Linked DNA regions of Schizosaccharomyces pombe. The gene in region 4 interacts genetically with the main gene of each other region. Each region holds a gene or a part of one and is shown on either strand. Other genes may lie near its edges.

Evidence for each region.
Region 1: mutations in mub1 (region 4) and sum2 together harm fitness more than expected from each alone (negative genetic interaction), as found in Schizosaccharomyces pombe (2 studies listed by BioGRID).
Region 2: mutations in mub1 (region 4) and scs7 together harm fitness more than expected from each alone (negative genetic interaction), as found in Schizosaccharomyces pombe (2 studies listed by BioGRID).
Region 3: mutations in mub1 (region 4) and hhp2 together harm fitness more than expected from each alone (negative genetic interaction), as found in Schizosaccharomyces pombe (2 studies listed by BioGRID).

The regions. Positions count from the first base shown.
Region 1 is NC_003423.3:265,369-270,042, reverse strand, and holds sum2 (translation initiation inhibitor), read right to left. Parts: upstream 2,588-4,674; 5' UTR 2,554-2,587; coding exon 2,501-2,553; exon of another isoform or gene 2,463-2,500; coding exon 2,404-2,462; exon of another isoform or gene 2,366-2,403; coding exon 2,184-2,365; exon of another isoform or gene 2,076-2,183; coding exon 1,089-2,075; 3' UTR 635-1,088; downstream 1-634. Other genes in the region: SPOM_SPBC800.14C (uncharacterized protein), read left to right, coding at 1-336; trm6 (translation initiation factor eIF-3 gamma subunit Gcd10), read right to left, coding at 3,145-4,438, 4,575-4,669. UniProt on the Schizosaccharomyces pombe protein: Required for G2/M phase checkpoint control.
Region 2 is NC_003424.3:4,055,033-4,059,538, forward strand, and holds scs7 (ER sphingosine hydroxylase Scs7), read left to right. Parts: upstream 1-1,743; 5' UTR 1,744-1,925; coding exon 1,926-1,983; intron 1,984-2,003; exon of another isoform or gene 2,004-2,271; coding exon 2,272-3,257; 3' UTR 3,258-3,783; downstream 3,784-4,506. Other genes in the region: RNA-binding protein Rsd1, read right to left, coding at 50-840, 932-985. UniProt on the Schizosaccharomyces pombe protein: Ceramide hydroxylase involved in the hydroxylation of sphingolipid-associated very long chain fatty acids. Postulated to hydroxylate the very long chain fatty acid of dihydroceramides and phytoceramides at C-2.
Region 3 is NC_003424.3:1,047,000-1,051,648, reverse strand, and holds hhp2 (serine/threonine protein kinase (CK1 family) Hhp2), read right to left. Parts: upstream 2,652-4,649; 5' UTR 2,615-2,651; coding exon 2,451-2,614; intron 2,285-2,450; coding exon 1,561-2,284; intron 1,475-1,560; coding exon 1,160-1,474; 3' UTR 513-1,159; downstream 1-512. Other genes in the region: atp18 (F0-ATPase subunit J), read right to left, coding at 4,058-4,119, 4,164-4,214, 4,264-4,333. UniProt on the Schizosaccharomyces pombe protein: Involved in DNA repair. May regulate the activity of protein(s) involved in double strand break repair caused by gamma rays.
Region 4 is NC_003423.3:3,766,106-3,771,976, forward strand, and holds mub1 (armadillo-type fold protein, zf-MYND type zinc finger protein, Mub1-Rad6-Ubr2 ubiquitin ligase complex Mub1), read right to left. Parts: upstream 3,880-5,871; 5' UTR 2,873-3,879; coding exon 1,148-2,872; 3' UTR 501-1,147; downstream 1-500. Other genes in the region: mediator complex subunit Med10, read right to left, coding at 1-176; protein Cwf4, read right to left, coding at 4,928-5,871.

The DNA.
Region 1 (4,674 bases), 3.5 Mb from region 4:
AGTATGGGCAAAAAGAGCTTCCCATTTTTAGCCATTGCCAATGCTCTGGTTCAGGGCTATTTGTCTTATTCGGAACGGAAGAGAAGTATATTCTCTTCAAAATTGTATGCTATATCGGCTTTATCTGGACTATGTATTATTCCTTTCACGCTTTTGTTTATGAAAAAGGACATTAACTCTTTACAAACGTTAAATCCAGATCTAATACTTAAAGATGTAAAGGCTACTCAAAATTTCCGCAGTATAATTCACAGATGGGGTTTTAAAAACTTATTTCGAAGCGCATTTATGTTTTTCTCTGGTTTAGCTTCAATCGCTGGATCAATTTACTTTTGATAACAAAACATAATTGTAATGTATCGTTTACGTGTTAACTCTTGCGTTCCGATATTCGTTGATGATCAAATAATATTAAGTTCTAATTTTTCTACTGCTGATTATTAAAACACTATATCACGTAGTTAAGTTCGTGAAATTTAAACTATTAAAAAATGCTAAAATTAAGAGAGCACATTTTTATTTTTAAAACGATTCGCTTATAAATTGTTCATACTGCTCAAACATTGTTGTTTGGATTCTATAGTTTGTCAGCTTCAAACAAGTCGACTGAATCAAATTTTTACAAAACGCTTTTCAAAAACGAAACGACTGTTGAAAAACACGGGTTGTTCAATGTTCAGTCATGCAACCAGCGATGCTTTGGGTCTATCAAGGTGTATAAAAGAATAAACATTAGCGGATTGGTTAAGTCTTCAACCTTTTGGTAATTATATGTAACCCATTAACATTTATTCGTAATACCTTTACGAAATCTCGGTATAGGATATCGTTTCAATGCTTGTTCTTCTTGCGTAATACATGAGCAGATAAGTATAGTTTTTAAAGCACTCTACAAGAACTTAACAAAACTCCTAAGTTAAATATCAAATAACAACGACTAATCCTTTTGGTTTATATAAGAGAACACCTTTTTTCGGGTCGTTAAATACATGTCCATAAATTTTGAGTTCATCATGATTGAAACGAAGACGAAGCTCAATCTAGAGAAACGAGGATACTTCATCTGTACTCATTATAAGAAATGCAGTTCATTGGTCGTTTGCAGGCTGGGCTCTAGGTTGAGAGCCATTGGAATTCCTGTATTGGTTATATTGATTTCTTGCATATCCACGTCCACGACCTCTACCACCACGTCCACGACCACGTCCACGACGGCCGCGATTTCCAGAGCCAGCAACGCCAAATGTCTCCATGTTCAAAGAACGTTCGCGATCTCGTAGAGCTCTTCTATCTGCAGCTTCCATACCCTTCTCTTTACTTTCACAACTAATATTATCAAAAAAAGATTGCTTAGGCTTGTAAAATTCTTCGGCTTCTTCATCATTTTTTCCTTTTAACAAATCATCTTTCATCGATTGAAACTTTTGATTTGCAGTTTGAAAGTCAAATTCGGTACGAGGCTTTGCAGCACTAGCATCAGGTTGAGTTGTAGGAACTTCTTTAGAAGGTCCAGATGTTTCAACGGTTTGGGATTGAGAGACATCCACAGTAGTATTCACAACACGGTCATTTGTGACAGTGGAATTCCGTATACTAGTACTTTCTTTTTCAATAGATGCTTCAATGGAGGGCTGTGCACCTGGTATCACTCCATTCGTGGGCGGCATGGATTGAAGAGACGGAGATGCAGATACCGCGGTAGGACCAGGAGCAGGCATGCCCGGAGCAAAGTTGGGAGGCTTCTGGTTTGAAGGCATTCCGTATCCAGGACGTACGTTGTACGGGGCCTGACCGGCAAACCCTTGAGAAACATTTTGAGCAAACTCAGGACGTTGACCCATTTGCTGTTGATCAGGTGCCCCATAATACGGGACCGCAGGTGTGGATGCGTCTAAGGGAGTACCCAAAGGCAAACCTCCAGGAGGTACAAATTGAGCGGGAGCATTCGGGTACATATAGTAAGGTGCACCTGCTGGAGGAGCCTGTTGGTATGGAGCTCCATAAGGGTTAGGTTGAACAGGCTGAGGAGGTTGGGCAGTCTGCGCTTGGTTCCAATTATACTGCCCGCTATTAGACTAATTATAGTTAAAATCATGATCTTGTCAGATATATAAAGAGTGCCAAAGATAATTAATACTAGATATACTAATGAGAATCTCCACCACTCTTTAGACGTAACATACCCCAATAATTGCAGGATCATTAGGAGGTTGAACCGGGGGAGCAGAAGGAGTAGTAGCAGGTTCCTCAATCCGTAAATCTTTAACATCGCTTCCACGAAAAACAATGTAATCAAATACATTATCTGATGGGGGGATTTCTTGAGAGGGATCTTGTTTTCTTCCTTCAGTACCACACCAACGGACTAAACTGTTAGTAATCAATGCTGGGTACTCAACCTACCATGCTTCAAAGCCAGTGTTGAGTCCTGGGAATTGATGTCCTGCAAAATGCCCACATAACTAAATATTAGTAAAGGAAAGATAATGCTCTCACGTACCGAATGTCAGATTTGCTAATTAGACTAATACGAGAACCAATAAATTCAGTCATTGGTTATAAACTCGACGAAGTAAAGCTTAGTGGTGAAAGGAGCGTGGTTAGGTGTCCTTTCGAAATTAACGAACTTGGCGATAGCGCTAGTATGGGGTTCATTATACCGAGTAAATAAGACCAAAATGCGACATTGTCATTTATAAGCTGTTTTTTCATCAGTTTTTATATTTATTTAAAATTAACATGCTTAAGATCAAAAAGGCTATCCACAGCTGCTCTGACCATGTACTACTTATTTTACTTAAATACGTATATGTGCAGCAGTCAAATTGTAACTAATTTTATACTTATTACAAGTAATCTATTTTTAAAAAGAATGAAAATGCCAAGCAAAAGACACTGTACTTTAACGCTCTTCAAAATTGAGTTAACCTGAAACCGCACCGTCAATTACATTATCCAACTAACATATTCATTTTCTGATACGTATGAAAATTTTAAGTTAAAGAATGAAACAAAAAACTTTTTAATATAACAAAAACCTTTTCCCAATTCAACGTAACTGAGTTTATGTCCAAAATTGTAACTCCCCTTGTTGATCTAATAGAGTAGCCTTGAAAAAAATATTCCAAAAGTAATATTTCATATCTAATTTTCCAATTTTGCTTTTTTGACAGAAGAAGTTTCTTTCTGGCCCTTACGTTTTGGAAACCTTCCGGCAGCTAGATTGCTGTCAGAAGTTAACACCTTGATCCCAGATAAAACGAAACCCATATCACCCCTAACAGTCATGAATGGATGAGTCCTTTCTGGCAAGACTTGGTAAGGTCGTGTACGAATCTCATGAATATCCAGCATGATGACTTTCTCTTTCTGTGTATCAATAGCAACGTCTCCTTGATCAACCTTTTCGTCATTTTCAGTACTTTGAGCTGTCTTTTCTACAAATAAGTTATCCCATTTAGATAATTGATGATACGTCTCGACTAAGACTTGCTGATATGTTGAGTATACCATGAAAGGACGTGATATACCGAGCTTTGGAAGAAGATGTTGAAGAACAGACATTGGGGTGTGAATAGATAGTATAAAGAGAGCATCATAGTTACCACTTTCAAAATCATCAATAGTATTCTTCAAACGGTTAAATGTAGCTTTCTTCGTTTCATAGCGCTTACGGTGGCGAAGTTTCATCTCATTCAACTCTGATTCAGGAATATCTTCAACCGAATACTCACTTAAAGTCTCGGTTGGATTCGTAACTTGATACCAATTCAAAGTTTTCAAAATCCCTTTTTGAACCAAACTATCCTCTTTAAAGTCTTGCCCCCAATACTCTAAACAAGAGCTATTAGGTTGCTCATTTGGATGGACCAGGGTTATTTTGCAATCACCAGCAACACGGTCAATAAGAGAACCAAGGAACATGCATCCAGTCTCATCAACTACCAAATATCTACCCCCAGGTTTAACATTTCCAAGAGTAAGCATCAAGCTTATACACTCGGCAGTAAGATCAAGTATCTTATACGGATCATGTTCAATCATGTAATTAGCCACAACTTCAACACAAGGTCGTAAAACCTGAAAGCGTTGAAGATACTTTTCCCCTTTTCTCGTAACATATTTCTCCTGAGCAAATAAAGTTTTTTGCTCAAAAGTTTTACTACTATTAGTCAACTGTTTGATGGCCTCTTCAGCACGAAGTCCACCAGCTTTAATGTTTGCGCGCAGTTCATCAATCTCCTCTTGAGTCATAAGCTGATTGCCTCGACAATCATTAAGTTCTTGATTCGTTTTCTTTTCTTCCTCGATATACTGTACCTCCCTTGTTTTTAAAACTCGAATTTTTTTGGGTTGATAAATTTCAAAAGTTTCGTCAAAATGCTTTCCAAACAAATCATCAGCGAGAAATGAACCAAATTTTCCGAGGTGAATTGTACTATTTAATATAAAGTCAGTAAGATCAATATGAACGAGATAAACTAGATCACCTCTATCTCCTTATGCAAAAAACAATTTCAATTGCTATCATTGAAAATGTACTTTAAATTGTAAATTAAGATCCTCATACTTACTTGTTTGGTTTCAATGTTACAAAACGAACATTGTCTGAAGGAAGCTTGATGAAAACGCTGCTGTTTTCGGAAATAGTTGATGCATGCCTCAGCATATTGT
Region 2 (4,506 bases), on a different chromosome or scaffold from region 4:
AAACAGAATAATATCTATTTAAAAAAAAAAAAAAAATTATAAGACATACCCTTTCGATCGTCCGCTAATCTTGTCTCGAACAATTTGAGCATCGCGAACAGGACCAGCTTGTTCGAAAAAATCATATAATTCCCTAGAAGTCAAACGATTTGCGAGTTGAGAAACGAACACAGTACGGCGATCACGCTCTTCCTCTGAAAGTTTAGAGGAGCGTTCACGAGGACGGGAACGACTTCTCTTACGCTCATGTGAACGGTCATCATCCCTCAAGTCCTCATAATCATAATCATGGGCTCTAGAAGAACGAGAGGAGCGTTCTTCATAGCGGCGACGACTACGACTATGCCGCGAAGAGTAAGGAGGGCTGCGTGAATAATCATCGTATCGATGGCGACTACGACTTGAGGGATGGCGGCTTCGACTTGACCTTGAACTGCGATCGCGATCGCGAGAACGAACGGGTGATCTACTTTGATGAGAATCTACAGAAGAGTGAGGAGAGGGAGAGCGACTACCATAATCGGACCTTGGACTATATGATCTCCTATGGTGTCTTGGGGTGCGATGACTTGAGGAATTTGTAACTACATCATCGTTATAACCGCTATCCTCTCGTTGAAAAGATTGTTTGGAAGATCTGGCGTACCGATAACCCATTGAAACGGGAGGAGGAGTTAGACGACCTTCACTTTCGTAATTTTTAGACACGGGTTTGAAAGAGCGATCATGCAACCGTGTAGGCGGTGGAGGAGGGTTAGAGGGATGACTATGAGTGGAAGAGGTGAGTGAGGATTCATGAAAAGAAGAAGATGCCTTTTGCTGATTTTCTTGATTTTGCGGCTAGGAAAAGGGTTAGTAAAAACAATAAACACGGGAAGACAAAAAAACAAAGGGAAAAGGCGGGAAGGAAGGAAAAAAATTGTAAACGTACCACTTCTTGCTTACGAAAAGGAGCCTCAGCCAAGGCTTCCGCGTCCAGCTGCATTTAGATTAGATCTGTTTATCTATGCGTGGAAAATACGTTCGTTTATTTTCGTTTTCAATACAACAAACTCTGACAGGATCGGAACAGACTTCGACTGGAAAACTAAGTAAGCTAGTAAAAATGGAGTTTTGTCAGTCTAGTAGCTTTCGTCGCTTCTAACACGAATTGTTTTGTTAAAAAATATTAATAATGAGTACTCTTTTGAGCTATTTTGTCCTCTTTCTTTCGGTGGAAAAAAAAGTGGAATATTCTACTGCCTAAGCGATAAAAGATGAGAGAAATTTTAGTACAAACAAAAAAGAAAGCGAGGAATAGCGGAATAAGGAAATTCCAAGCTAAAAACAATTACCGACAATAAGAAGCAAAGAAACGGAAAGGAAGGAAAACAAAATTATACCTAACCAAACCAACGAAAAGTAAATCACGAAAAGTTAATAAATTTCGATCAACTTAAGGTTTTCTCTTTTCAAGTATTTTTTCGCAAATAATAATTTTTAGTCTACTATGAATAAATCAATGAATTGTATCTGTAAAGCACTTCACTCGTCTGTTCTTTCCCTGTGTATAGGCCCTTGAGTGCAATTTTCTGGTGTTCAGTTTCGGAACCCGTTTTGCGATACGGTAAATATTGTTTTCCGTTGTCTTACCATTTTTCGGAAAAGTCGATCAAAAATAGCACGATTTTTTGGTTCGCCCCGCAATGCCTTTTTGCCCTTTCCTGCGACATATATAGGCTACTGCATCCACGCCACAACATCGTGCCATTAACGCAACACAAACAAAGAACTGACATTTTGATCAATTGGACAAAAATCCAAGTAAAGAATCATAGGATCAGTTGCTACGTTGTAATATTTACTGTATTTGTTTATCAAACTCATCAGAAACACGCTTGCTACAGTTTTATCACGAATTAACAATTCATACTCCCATCTCCAAAATGGCCTCTGTTACTAGTGAAAAGTGTGTTATCCTTTCTGACGGCACTGAATACGATGGTAAGTATTTAAACAAGGAGAAATGGCAGGGTGTTTGGGTTTTGAGAAGGAGATTTGGTTGAAGGACTAAAATTTTTTCTCGGCAACAGAGTGTTTGAGAGGCAATGTATAAAAAACAATGAAAACGCATATAGCAAAGGCTTATTGGCAAAAGATCCATTGTGGGAGATGTGCCATTTCTTATCTTTTTTCTTTGTTCGTTGTGCTTTTAACTTTTTTTCACCTTTCCCCCTTTGCCTTAGTTACACCAAAATACATGTATCGTTCTTTATACTAACATTCCATTAGTCACCAACTACTTGGTTGCCAACAAGGACGCTGCTGACTTGCTTCGTCGCTATCACCGCCAAGAGGTTGCTGATATCCTTAATGCTACCTCCAAGTCCAAGCACTCTGAAGCTGTTGTTGAGATCTTGAAAAGTGCTAAGGTTCCTTTGAAGAATAAGGAATTCAGTGATCTTGTCGACCAGAACATTGGTGTCGGTTATGGCAATGAATTCATTGTCAAGCCTACCGATCTTGACAAGGATTTCGAGAAGAACCATTTCCTTGACCTCAAGAAGCCTTTATTGCCCCAAATTTTGTTTGGTAACATCAAGAAGGATGTTTATTTGGACCAAGTTCACCGTCCCCGTCATTACCGTGGCAGCGGTTCTGCTCCTTTGTTTGGAAACTTTTTGGAGCCTCTTACCAAGACCCCTTGGTATATGATTCCATTGATTTGGGTTCCCTGTGTCACTTATGGATTCTTGTACGCCTGTACCGGAATTCCCTTCTCTGTTGCTATCACCTTCTTCATCATTGGATTATTCACCTGGACTTTGGTTGAATATACTATGCATCGTTTCCTCTTCCACTTGGATGAGTACACCCCTGATCATCCTATTTTCTTGACTATGCACTTCGCATTCCACGGTTGCCACCACTTCTTACCTGCTGACAAGTACCGTCTTGTAATGCCTCCTGCTTTGTTCCTTATCTTTGCCACTCCCTGGTATCACTTTATTCAACTTGTTCTTCCTCACTACATTGGTGTTGCTGGTTTCTCTGGTGCCATTCTTGGTTACGTTTTCTACGATCTTACCCACTATTTCTTACATCACCGTCGTATGCCCAATGCTTACTTGACTGATTTGAAGACCTGGCATTTGGACCATCACTACAAGGATTACAAGTCTGCCTATGGTATCACCAGCTGGTTTTGGGACCGTGTTTTTGGAACTGAGGGACCTCTTTTCAACGAACAGGGAAAGATCAGCACTAAGGCTAAGTAGATTGTGATTGCGTTTGAATCATTTAGCTGCTAAATTGCTTTCAAGGTGTTAAAAGTTTCTTTGGTCCTTTTTAACTATCAATAATTTTGTGTGCTATATAAATCTTGTTGTATTTTTCTTTTCTTTTTTAATTGCTTTCCAAATTTTTTCTCCTCTCTTTACCCTTGAAATCACTAAGCAATTTTCCCCCATTTTCTCTCTGACTTTAACTAGGCCTTATTATAGTGCCTTAAAGCTGTGTATTATATTTGAATTGCAGAAACATCAAATTTGATTTAATTTGATTGATCCACTCGCTAAAGCATCTTGTATCCCACATTGAAATTGTCTTGTCTTTCTTCTTTTCTATTAATACTATTTTCTGGTTTCTTTTGAACAAGTTTTCAAACTTTACCTTGTTAAGTCGAACTTAATAATATTATCTTGACTATCGGCTATATAATTTGAGTCTAAGGTTGCTATTTTATTTTTCCTTTTATCTGTCTTTTAAATATAATTCGAATTTTTAATTGTTTTTACCACCCCATCTGTTTGTAGTGCGAAATGATTTTCTTGTAGAAGCATCTCCATATCATAAGAGCGCTGAATAGTTTTTGTTGACCAAATATGCAACGCCGAGACGAAAAATTTAGGAAGAAGATGAATAGAGATATCCACAATATATATGTTTTAACTATATTTAAGGGTCATTTTACATTTGTTTATAAAATGTAAAAAAATTTATTAAAAAGATCGTAATGAAAGGTGTGGGACTCGAACCCACGAGCTTTCGCACTAGTGCCTTAAACTAGCTCCATAACCACTCGGACAACCTTCCTTTTTTGAGTATTAGGGTAACTTAAATCATCATATAGGATTTCACTAATAAATTTTTATTTTAAAAATTTGTTTTCTTGTGAATAAAAGTGTAGCAATTTACTGATTATTTAACCAGAAAATAGATTTTAGACAAAATCTATAAAAATATTTGTTAACAGAAACTAGCTTGTGGGGAATGCGTTTAGAATTCCTCAATTACAAGTTGCAGGTAAATTTACCCTAGTGTTTGTTAAGCGGACGTCGAGTTATTAACCATTACTATTGACGTTGGTTAACATGAATAAGCTTGAATTATTGCCAAGTCATTTTCCTGACACTTTCAGATTTGTTTATTTGTTTTTTTCTCAACCTCTGACATTTAGATGCATAATACATGTCAAAGACTTCTTAAATGATTACGATCATCATGCCTTGAAGGAGTTTCCTCAAT
Region 3 (4,649 bases), on a different chromosome or scaffold from region 4:
TCTTTGTTATGTATTGGTTTTGTGCGCAAAGTCAGCTCATCAAATAACATGCGACGCAACTCAGGAGTTGCGTGTAGAGGTAACACATTGTTGTACTAAGTGACAAATCTCATTTTGCTCTGTTTTTACATTAATCTAAACAATTTTTTTTTTACCGCAGACGAAACAGAGATGATAGTTATGGGTTTAGTAAAAATAAGTATAGATCCCTTCTTGAGCCTGTAGAATATTGAATTTGAGCATCAATTTTGAATGATTTTTCTTTGTGGTGCTGATCCATAATGTGTTACTGGGGCAACTGTAATGTAAACAAATCAACGTGCTTTGTTTACATTTGTAGAAGTGAAATACCGGTGGTTAAAATACCACAGAAAGCAATAGATATGATAATATGGCAAATCGATGGATATTTTTCTTTGCTACAGCCGAAATTAAATAGTATGTAAAACTTGATGATCCAGCGGTCAACTCCAACAGAGCTAATATTTTTTACGCTACTTGCCCATAATACAGTGTGAAAAATAGCGATCTATTTAATCGATGAAATTTATCATTTATTAATGAATTATTTCTTATGCAATTGATATTATATCTTTTATTGCAAAGGTAGGCAATAAAGACTGGTTTAGAGCCACGCAAATGATAGTGTAAAAAAAGAAACATGCTCCTTGTGTATATTACTTCTAGCAATGGAGGTACAAACTTTTCAGTTTTGAATAAAAACGGAATGTAAGAACCAATGGGGAACGAAAACAATAAAATAAAATTCTGGGAAGAAGAAATTTAGAAATGAATAGCACGACTGACTCAATTCTTTGGCAAGAACTTGACCGGAACGAGCTGAATATAAACAAACAGCACGATTTAAATTTTGTCCTCTAATTATGTCTTTTCAGTAAAGCATGTATGAGGTTTACACAATATGTCTATTTAAAAAGAAGGCATTAAAACTCAACTTCTAGGCAAAATGGAATAGCTCAAAACAATAGCTAAACCTCAAAGTGTATTAGTGTAGCAATCCGGCCATCCATAGACAAAAAAGAAAGCCAGGAATTATTAAAGATATTTGTGGAACTTTAAAACGTCAACAGATGGTTTGGAATTTAAGACTAAAAGACGTAGTGTAAGAGAGGAATTGATGAAAAGTAAAGTCAAAAAATCAAGGAGCTGGTTCTTCATCTAAAACACGCCTCAGTTGAGCACTGTATTGAGGTTGCAACGAAGATGGAATGTATTCATAATCTTTGTTGGGAACAGGAGAACGAAAGGAGAGAGGAAGAGGTGAGGGAGAAGCACATTGAACAATATTAGTGGAGAAAGATTGTGGAGTCTTTGGATTCCGCTCAGCAGGTAAGGGAATGGATGAATAATTAGGAGTAATGGGATTAACCGGTTGAGTTTGTGACACCATAGGAGATGTAACCTGTGGAGGTGCTGTAGCAGAAGCGGCGGCAGCAGCAGCAGCTCGCTTTTGCTAATAATAGTTAGTCAATCGAATTTTCAATCATTTGTTAAGGTTAAACTAACGTATCACCTTATCATTTTCTTTTCAAAACTTACGTATTTTAATATCATCCAGTCAAAAACATAGTCATACTGGTATCCTTTACGAATAAGTAAATCACGAAACAGCTTTCTCAAATAAGCATAGTTTGGCTTCTCGGTAAACGAAAGCTGACGAGTGTAACACATGTAAGTGATAAACTCTTCGGGAAGACCTTTGCAAAGGACTTCCAAAGGAGTGCCAATCTTGGTATCACGTATCCGTTGATACTTTTGCTCCTTTGTATCAGCTTGTAAGCCTTGCCAGGGCAAACTGCCGCGACAAAAATAAAGTAAAACATAACCTAACGATTCGAGGTCATCACGGCGAGATTGTTCAATACCAATATGGGTGTTAATACTAGCATATCGAGCCGTTCCCGTAAGATTCTTATTATCTCGATATGGAATATGAACATGAGTTTTAAAATCCCTGTATTTTTTCGCCAATCCGAAGTCAATCATCGTAACAACATTGCTGTGCTTCTTCATTAAAAAATTATCAGGCTTAATGTCTCGATGTAAGAATGACTTGGAGTGAACATATTCAATGCGACTGATGAGTTGATCAGCAAGTAAAAGAACCGTTTTAAGAGTAAACTTTCTTCCACAATAGCAGAATAAATCTTCCAGAGAAGGGCCTAATAAATCCATGACCATAGCATTATAACTATTGGTTACACCGAACCAGCGAATTGTGGGTATGCCAATATTTCCTTTAAGAATATTATACACACGAAACCTAAATGTTAGAAAGAAAAAAGAAAAATAACCAAATGGAGTAACTTTTGCTTTTCCTTTTTGGTTGTAAAACATCGAGCTACGGTTGATAGATATAAAGAAGAAATTGGAGTTCCGAAAGAAATCCAACTTATACTTAAGTAAAAAAATATTAAAGCACTACTTACTCATATTCTAACTGATGATGACGAGCCTTTAAAGGCTCCAATTTCACAGCAACTTGTTCTCCATTTACCGTATTTAATCCCAGGTAAATTTGACCAAAGGAGCCAGAACCAATTTTTCTACCTATACGATATTTATTACCAATCTTAATGTCAACAACCGTCATTTTGCTAAGATTCTAATTCACAGAGATGACTGTGGTTGTTAGAATCGCATCATCACAGAAATCAAAGAGGAAGGCAAATAGAGCGCTGCAACGAGCTATATTTGGAGTAGAAGGATGTTTTGAATACATGATATATACAATGTAATGTGACTAATTTTTTATTTTACTAAGCAATACTTCAATGTCTTTGTTTACTTCCCTCGTCAACTAATTTTTTAAGATGCTCGTTTCTAAAAGAGTGGAATATTTTATTTAATGTTTGTACCATGATTGCCTTAAGGCTGTGGATGTTGATTGTTTCTTTACATGAGACTTAATAAATTTAGTAAGCAAAGCGAATTCAAATTTGTTGGTTCATATTTTTGCAGTGACTTCTACTGAACGCGGATTTTTTTTTTTCTTTTCCGTTAGAATAATATTTGTTTATTCCGAAGTAAGCCGTTTGTGATGTGGCTGAAATGTCACGGAATCATTTGCTCCAACAGATATTTTACCCTTCAATTGTTTGTGCATTACATTGTAGCATGAAGTACCTGAGTGGGAGCTTGTTCTGACTTTCTTCCGAAAAGTACAAAATATGAATGACATGTGGTTTTCTAGTGGAAAGAAAAGAGGTTTGGATTAAATTTATTGATACAAAAAGCAATAATGTTTTGTTTACATTATGAAGAATGTGGAATTCTAGCATATTTTTTCATATCCTCAAAGAGAATCACTTCAAAGTGATTTGTTTTGTAAACAAAGCAAACAAATCCAAAATGATTTTCTATGAACGTTCAGGATTTTACTTACAGAATCATATTGAACTGCTATTCTCTTTCAATAGTTTTTCCGATGATTCTTTTTTGGAGTGAATGCAAAAAACGATCGCCTACATGGCGAAGTAGTATTGAAAACGAAAAATGCTAATACTGCTTTATTTTTAGTAAAAGCCTCAGTTCTAGAGAATACAATACCAGCTTCAATATAGAAGTGTATACTAAACCTTCTGTAATACGTTATTTTACAGCTTTTGAAATCCGTGCCCAAAGATCTGCTTAATTGGAAACACAAAATAGGAACAATATGTTTGAGGTACTTTTTCTGAGGATTATCAAATTATCTAGGTAAATTAAAAGATTACAAAATGAGCGAATTAAATGACGACTAAGTACATAACTTTTCAGTCAAAGTGAATATTTATTTCGTGCAACACATGTATTCCTAAAAAGCATGGAAATTCATTTTTTCCTTCTGTTTATTTGAAAAGTTCATATTTAAATATACATTTAATACTTTAATTTAAATGATTGATCTCCTACAAATAAATTCGATTGATTACAGAACTTTTGATCAATTGTAACTGCTACAAAAACAAGCAGTGTAATTTCATTGACTTCCATTAAATCACATCAAAAGGGCTGAAACATTTTAGGAAGTGAAAGACATGAACTCGTCATCAACTTAATGATCACTTCCGTACTTTCCAGCCTTTGGGTTTCTAGGATCATTGCGATACTCCGCAGCTACATAGAGTTAAAAAATTGTTCTATTTCTATTAAAAACGTACAATCCATCATAGCATCACGAAGCTTTACAGTACCATAGAATACGATGGCTCCTGTCAAGACATGTTAATAATAATTCAAATCGTTGAAAAATATACATACCCCCTAGAAAAAAAGGAAGCATAGGTTTTAAAATAGGAGTAGAATATCTTTTAAGGCCAAAGAACGACATTTCTCTGATTCCGATTTCTGTTTAAATGGAGATGGGAGTGGAGAGGTTAAGTTAAAGGCAATCACTGGGAGTCTCAATATTAGGATATGTCAACGATGTCGATTTCTAGTGTATTATTTTTTTAATTTTATTTTCTTTTAAAAGAATTCTAAAATAATAAAAAAAATTACTCTTTTTTGGTAGTAGCTTCAGTCTGATGGAACCAAATTTTGAAGTGCTAGTTAAATGGACATGCTAAATTAAAGTTCGAACTTACACAATTACATCCATAACACATATTAGCGTTTGTTTTTAAATTCGGGATTAGACTGATTGA
Region 4 (5,871 bases):
GGAAGAGATTTGAGATCTCTGATAAGAGTATCAAGGCTTTCAGGAATGGCATCAGATGGAGTAGTATCTTCAAGGTTATAAACGATCAATGCCAAGTCATAAAAAGCCTGAGTGGTGTCTTCTAAACGGCTTGCCAATGATTTCATTTCATCAGTCATGTCATCTTGGGGCAGCATTTCGAAAACCAAAGATAAAAATAGGTTTAAAGATCAATTTAATGCAGCACAAGTGCACTGAATACAGCAGCCTTCAATTTATTGCTGTCTCAACTGTATAATGGTTATGCTTAAACTACGGTACTTCTTCCAGTTCACTATTTGCAAGTGAGTTGGTTTAATTTTATAGTAATAAGCAAATTACAAAGTCTGTTCTACTAATAGAGAAATACTGAATTCATTATAATATTGATTCCTCCTAAATGTTCTATAAATATTAGCGTCAACAGACAAGATAACTTGAAATAATACTTTCGTTTAGTCAATTTAGCGAAAGCATCATTAGTACGATCTATTTCTTGACTTCCAGGTATACAAGTACAAAAAGCTTTAGCCTTCATGCAATATCACATCGTATTGCTTTAGCCCTGTTCATAGGTTTAACTATTCCGAAAAAGCTATGTATAATTTTTGACTAATTTATTAATAAGTAACCAAGTCAAACAAAAACAAGTTGAAAAGAAAAAAGTTTATTATTTTAAGTAAAAGCATTTAAGTTACGAGAAAAAACGATAAGCAACAGAAGGACAGTCGGAAAAGAAACTCGAAGTTTTAATAAATTAGGACAGTGGCCTCCACACCTTCGTACCTCCCTGTAGGTTTCAAAAGCTTTCATGATTATTGCCCTGCTAAAACCACACGATATCCATAATAAGAAGAACAAATCTGAATGTATCGGCAATTAATTGCATAAAAAAAGGTTAAACGATTAACTTAATTGCGAGTAAAGAGTTAGCTGAAATTCATATTCTTCACGGCACATGAAATAATAATTGATGGCAAAGGGAATTAAGGAATGAATTCAAAACGTAGTATTGAATGCCGGAAAAATGATTAAAAGAATATGTGTGACCTCCAACTGTAAGTCTATTTGAAGCGTAAGCATACCTAGTAAGAAATGGATAGAAATTGTCATTAAACTGTCATTAGTACTACAATCTGCTATCACTCTGAGTGCTTGAAGTTACAGATTCTGTTCCAACAGGAATAACAGATGCAGCCGGGGATGCTGTTGATTCGCTTTCAGTGACTGAGTTTATTTTTGAGCTCTCTCGTTTGGAATTCCTGCCATCTTTATGAATTACGCGACACCATCGACTATGTCCCGGCCATGCTTGATGCTGGCATTCTTTACTGCAATATTTTGTACGTCGGCATCTTCTGCATTTAGCAAATTGACGACTGTGCTCTTCCCATTTGTTACATAACAAATTGGCGCATCGACGTATACCACCATGACTTTCATCTTTCCGACAGTAATTATTCATGATAGCTCTGGCCCAGTATTGAACTTGTGGGGGGTAGAATTTCAAGGTGAACTGCTCGACTAACTGAAAAATATTCCACGTTTTACTGCCGCTACGTAAGGGCGACATACGTAAACTTGGAACATCTTTAGAAGACTCGAAGTAAGGACGCATATGGAAATAGTTTTTACTAGTATAAGCAAGAATTTGCAAACCAAAAAGTATATCTTCTTCACGAGGGAGTTTATTAATCTTCTTATCAAAGTTGTCAAAGAATGAGGCAATCCCGTGATAATCAACTACATTTTCGGGCCTGCGGCCATCTAATAACGCAGATGTAGAAGGAACACCAGGTAAAAGTTGATTACGACGCTGACGATTATTCAAGGCCTGTGATTGAACATTATTTAAAGACAATTGCACATCCCGTGATGAATCCTGAGTAGTAGTCATAATATTAAGCGGAGTTGGAAAGAAAAAATTTGGAGAGTCTATCTCGTCATTAATTGTCTCACTAGCAGGGCCTGTTTGACGAGAGTATGAAGGAGAAGAAGGGGTAGTCATGTTATAATTAACATTTTCAGTAGAAGTAGGAGTAGAGGGTGCAGCTGATGAAATTCTTTGAATGGTTAATGGAGAGTTTGCTTGAACACGAGGATCTTGAAATGAATCATTTGAATAAATGGAGCCGGAGGATCGATCATGACTAGTGGTAGAGCTTGATCCCAATAAATCACGATTCACGGAATGTCGAAACGTAGATTGATTTGGAAGTTGGACATCTCCACTATCCCGTAAATCCACCGAATAAACTCTTCTAGAGCTAGAGCTTGCCGTACTAGCTCCAAATGGAGATGGTACATCACCGTTGACGAACAAAGAGTCAGCAGATGAATTGTGTTGAGACACAGAATCAAGAGAATTGCTAATATTAGAATTAATGGGGAATGGAGCAGATGCGGATGATGGAGGAGGGGTAGTAGAAGGTGTAAGGGAAAATTGAAATCGAGAATGGTGAGAAACAACGGACTCAAGCGCAAACAAAAAATCATCTAAAAGGGTGACAACAATAGGAACGATACCAGCTTCCACAACACGAATTCGAATAGCTTCAGACCCACGTATCCCAACATTTACGACACACTGAAGAGCTAGCTGCCATATTGTCATTCGGGCAAATGTTTGTCCACGTCCGGCACGTAAAATATTCATTAAACGCATCAAACCACCATCCATAGTAAGGATCTCACGAATTTTCGGTGAAGTCGAAGTCAAATAAACGAGATGGCTTAATGAATTCATTAATGACATTTCGGAGTCACAGTCAAGCGCACGTCGATCATAAAGGACTGTATTGATAGTGACAGAAGCTTTGTTATTCCATACGATGCTAACGTTCGATTCCCTCATCTTTCTTTAATAATATATTTAACACGTATAAAGTTTTTTAAAGACAATTGCTGCAGTATAAATTACTGGCAAACGCAAAGATTGGCGTAAAACGAACGATGTGATAATATTTTTTTTAGTTAAAGACAAGCAGTTTTCGAATACCAAAATTTTACTCAATAATTTTCAAAACTGCTGTGTGTAAACGCAATAACCGAAGAGAAAAACCAAGAACAAACGCCGATAGCAGGAAGAATAAGTAGTGCCCCAAAATCACGAAAACGAAAAAAAATAAAAATTACTGTTTTCGCAGATTTTAAGTCCCGCCGAATTTGAAATCCTTTTAAGCAATCTACACCAATTATTCTTCAAAACGAGTAAACGTAAAAGGGACTACGGTTAGCTCAAGCTTGAAGTCAAGAACTGATAAAGGAGCAAAAAAAATACTAAAAGAAAAAGGAAGTAAGGAGCAAGGGCACTTTTTTAGCCGAGAAGCGACACAGATCAAGTAAGTTCAACAATAGGAAGTATAACAACGAAAAAGTTGTAACCCGGGGTCTGCTAAAATCACGAGGCTAAAGAAAGAGAGAAGTGGCAAACAAAAAAAACCCGAGATTAACGAAGATACAAAGAGAGAATGAATAAGAATAGTTTGATGAAAACCACAATAACCTTGAAAATAAAAATAAAGGATATGCTCAGTACCTTTTTAGACAAGATTAGTGGAAAATCAAATCACAGCTGACAAGAGTAAGAGAAGAGAGAATAGCACAAGATGATTTGCATCAATTAAAAAAGTAAAGTTCGAAGAAAAATGTTAGGATTTGGAAAAGGAAAACGGTGGTGAAGCTAAATCAGCCTTGTTGATAAACAAAGAATAAGTGTTTTCTTATAATCGCAAGGATTTAGCTTAAAAACCACAGTAAATAGTTTTTGCAAGTCCCTTAATTTTAATTGAATGAATTCTTTTTACGAAAATTTCCCGGATCCTCGTTCTCTTATTCAGATTCTTGGAAGTGGCAGTTGACAGAAGGCAACTTCATTTCACCCGAGTGTCAACCGAGTTTGAAAACGATCGTCAGTGAACGTACCTTTAAGGCACCATAACGCAAAGTATGCTGGGTTGTTACTGGCTATAATGGTTGGGAACTCTCGGCGATCTTTGATGCTGGATGTTACCTTTGAAGAGATCGACATCTCGGCAACAATAACTCAAAAAACTTGCTGCAACTTTAACTAGCAACAGTTGGTATTTCTTTCACTATAGTCAGTCATTTTTTATTCATACGAACATCTTTGTGTCTTTAAGTTTTTAGCAGAATCTGTGTATGAATTTTTTCTTTTAAGTCAAAATGTTGCCTAATACGTTGGTCGCATAAGCCGATTTTTGTATTCTGTAAATTCACTTTAGCAGAACATTTGGGTAAACCGGTCCGAATAAGCTGTCAGTGCTGAAAATAACCAATGTCAGATTTTGTAATCTCATTTGATTGACAAGTTCATCAGATCAGCACAACTCCAAACCAGCCGCTTCTTTACCTGTGAGTCCTGCCACTTTGAGTAACAAAACTAAAATTAGTCGCACTGGTAGATACTCGATCGTATGTCAATGGGGCAAGGTAAAGAACAATCAATTTATAAATATAAATATGTACATATTAAATATATTTTGGATTGGATTTTTCATTTTATTGTATTTTAATGTGTTATTTACGAATTGCGTTGGATTCTTCAAAATTGTCATGTTTACAACTTTCTCATTTCTACAAGTGTGATTCCCTCAACATAATATCCATAAATTTTTCGCTTATCTTGCTTAGTAAGTAAACTCAGATCGAAACTCAAGGTTAATAATACTAATATGGATTGCTTGTCTTATTTCTACGCGCCATTCCGGCCTTTCAAATGCAAAAACAGTTATTTTATTATTATCCGAACAGTCCAAAGCGCTGAATATCCTCAACTTCGTAACAACGTCCATTTACATGACCCATTGCCTCGTAAACAATTAATTACTAATATTTTACACGATTACTAAATATTAAACTGATAGCGCCAATAAATGTCATATGTAATCTAGGCCTCCAGCTTCTTTTTAGCCATTTCCTCTTTCCATTTTCGCGAAAGTTCGAGCATTTTGCGCATCTTATCTCCTTGATCAGTCGCCGTATCCGGAAACAGATAGTCCAAATATTCTTCGAATGAACCGTCTTCAAGTCTACGGCGTTTCTTAACAACCTGTGGCATTAGTGAAGAGACATGCTTACGTGTATCTTCCGTGCCATGCATTGCCTCAAATTGTTTCCATGCTTCAAGTAATACAACTCGCTCTTCCTTCAAACCCTGCTGGCGTAAATGGGCCAATGCATTTTCAAAAACATTTCGCGCACGCACAACAGCGGTTGGAGAAGCCACTTCTTCATTCGGTGGTTCTTCGTCATCGTCCTCCAGATGGGCAATTTCAAAGTTTGCAAAACTAATCCAAACTTTAACATGAGGTGCAGTCCGTAGTAACTGCTGGTAAATACTTCTAGCTTTTCCGTATTCCATTTCCTCGAATTCAAAATCAATATAAGCCTTCCACACAAGCTCTGGGGTTTCCAAAATAGGCTGGTTTACAGCCAAATTATATAAAGCGCGAGCACGATCACTATCTCCAAGCTTAGTCTCTAAGGCAGCGTAACCAAGCCAGGGAGCACAAGCCTCGGGATCATAAAGAATCCATTTTTCATAAAGAATTCGACACCTGTCAAACTGCTTAATTGCGTCTTCGAATTCAATATAACCTCGGAATAATTTTGGTTTTGGACACATTCCCAACGCACGACCCAACGTTTTTCTAGCAACATCAATCTTACGTTGCCTAAGCTCAAACATTGCATACATGAGCCATAATTTGGCAAATGTAAATTTTTTATGGGGTATAAGCTTGAGAGCTTCTTGGTAAACCTTTCTTGCGCGGTCAACGTCCTTCACATCTATCTCTTCAAATAAGCAATAGTTTAACCAAATATAAACGT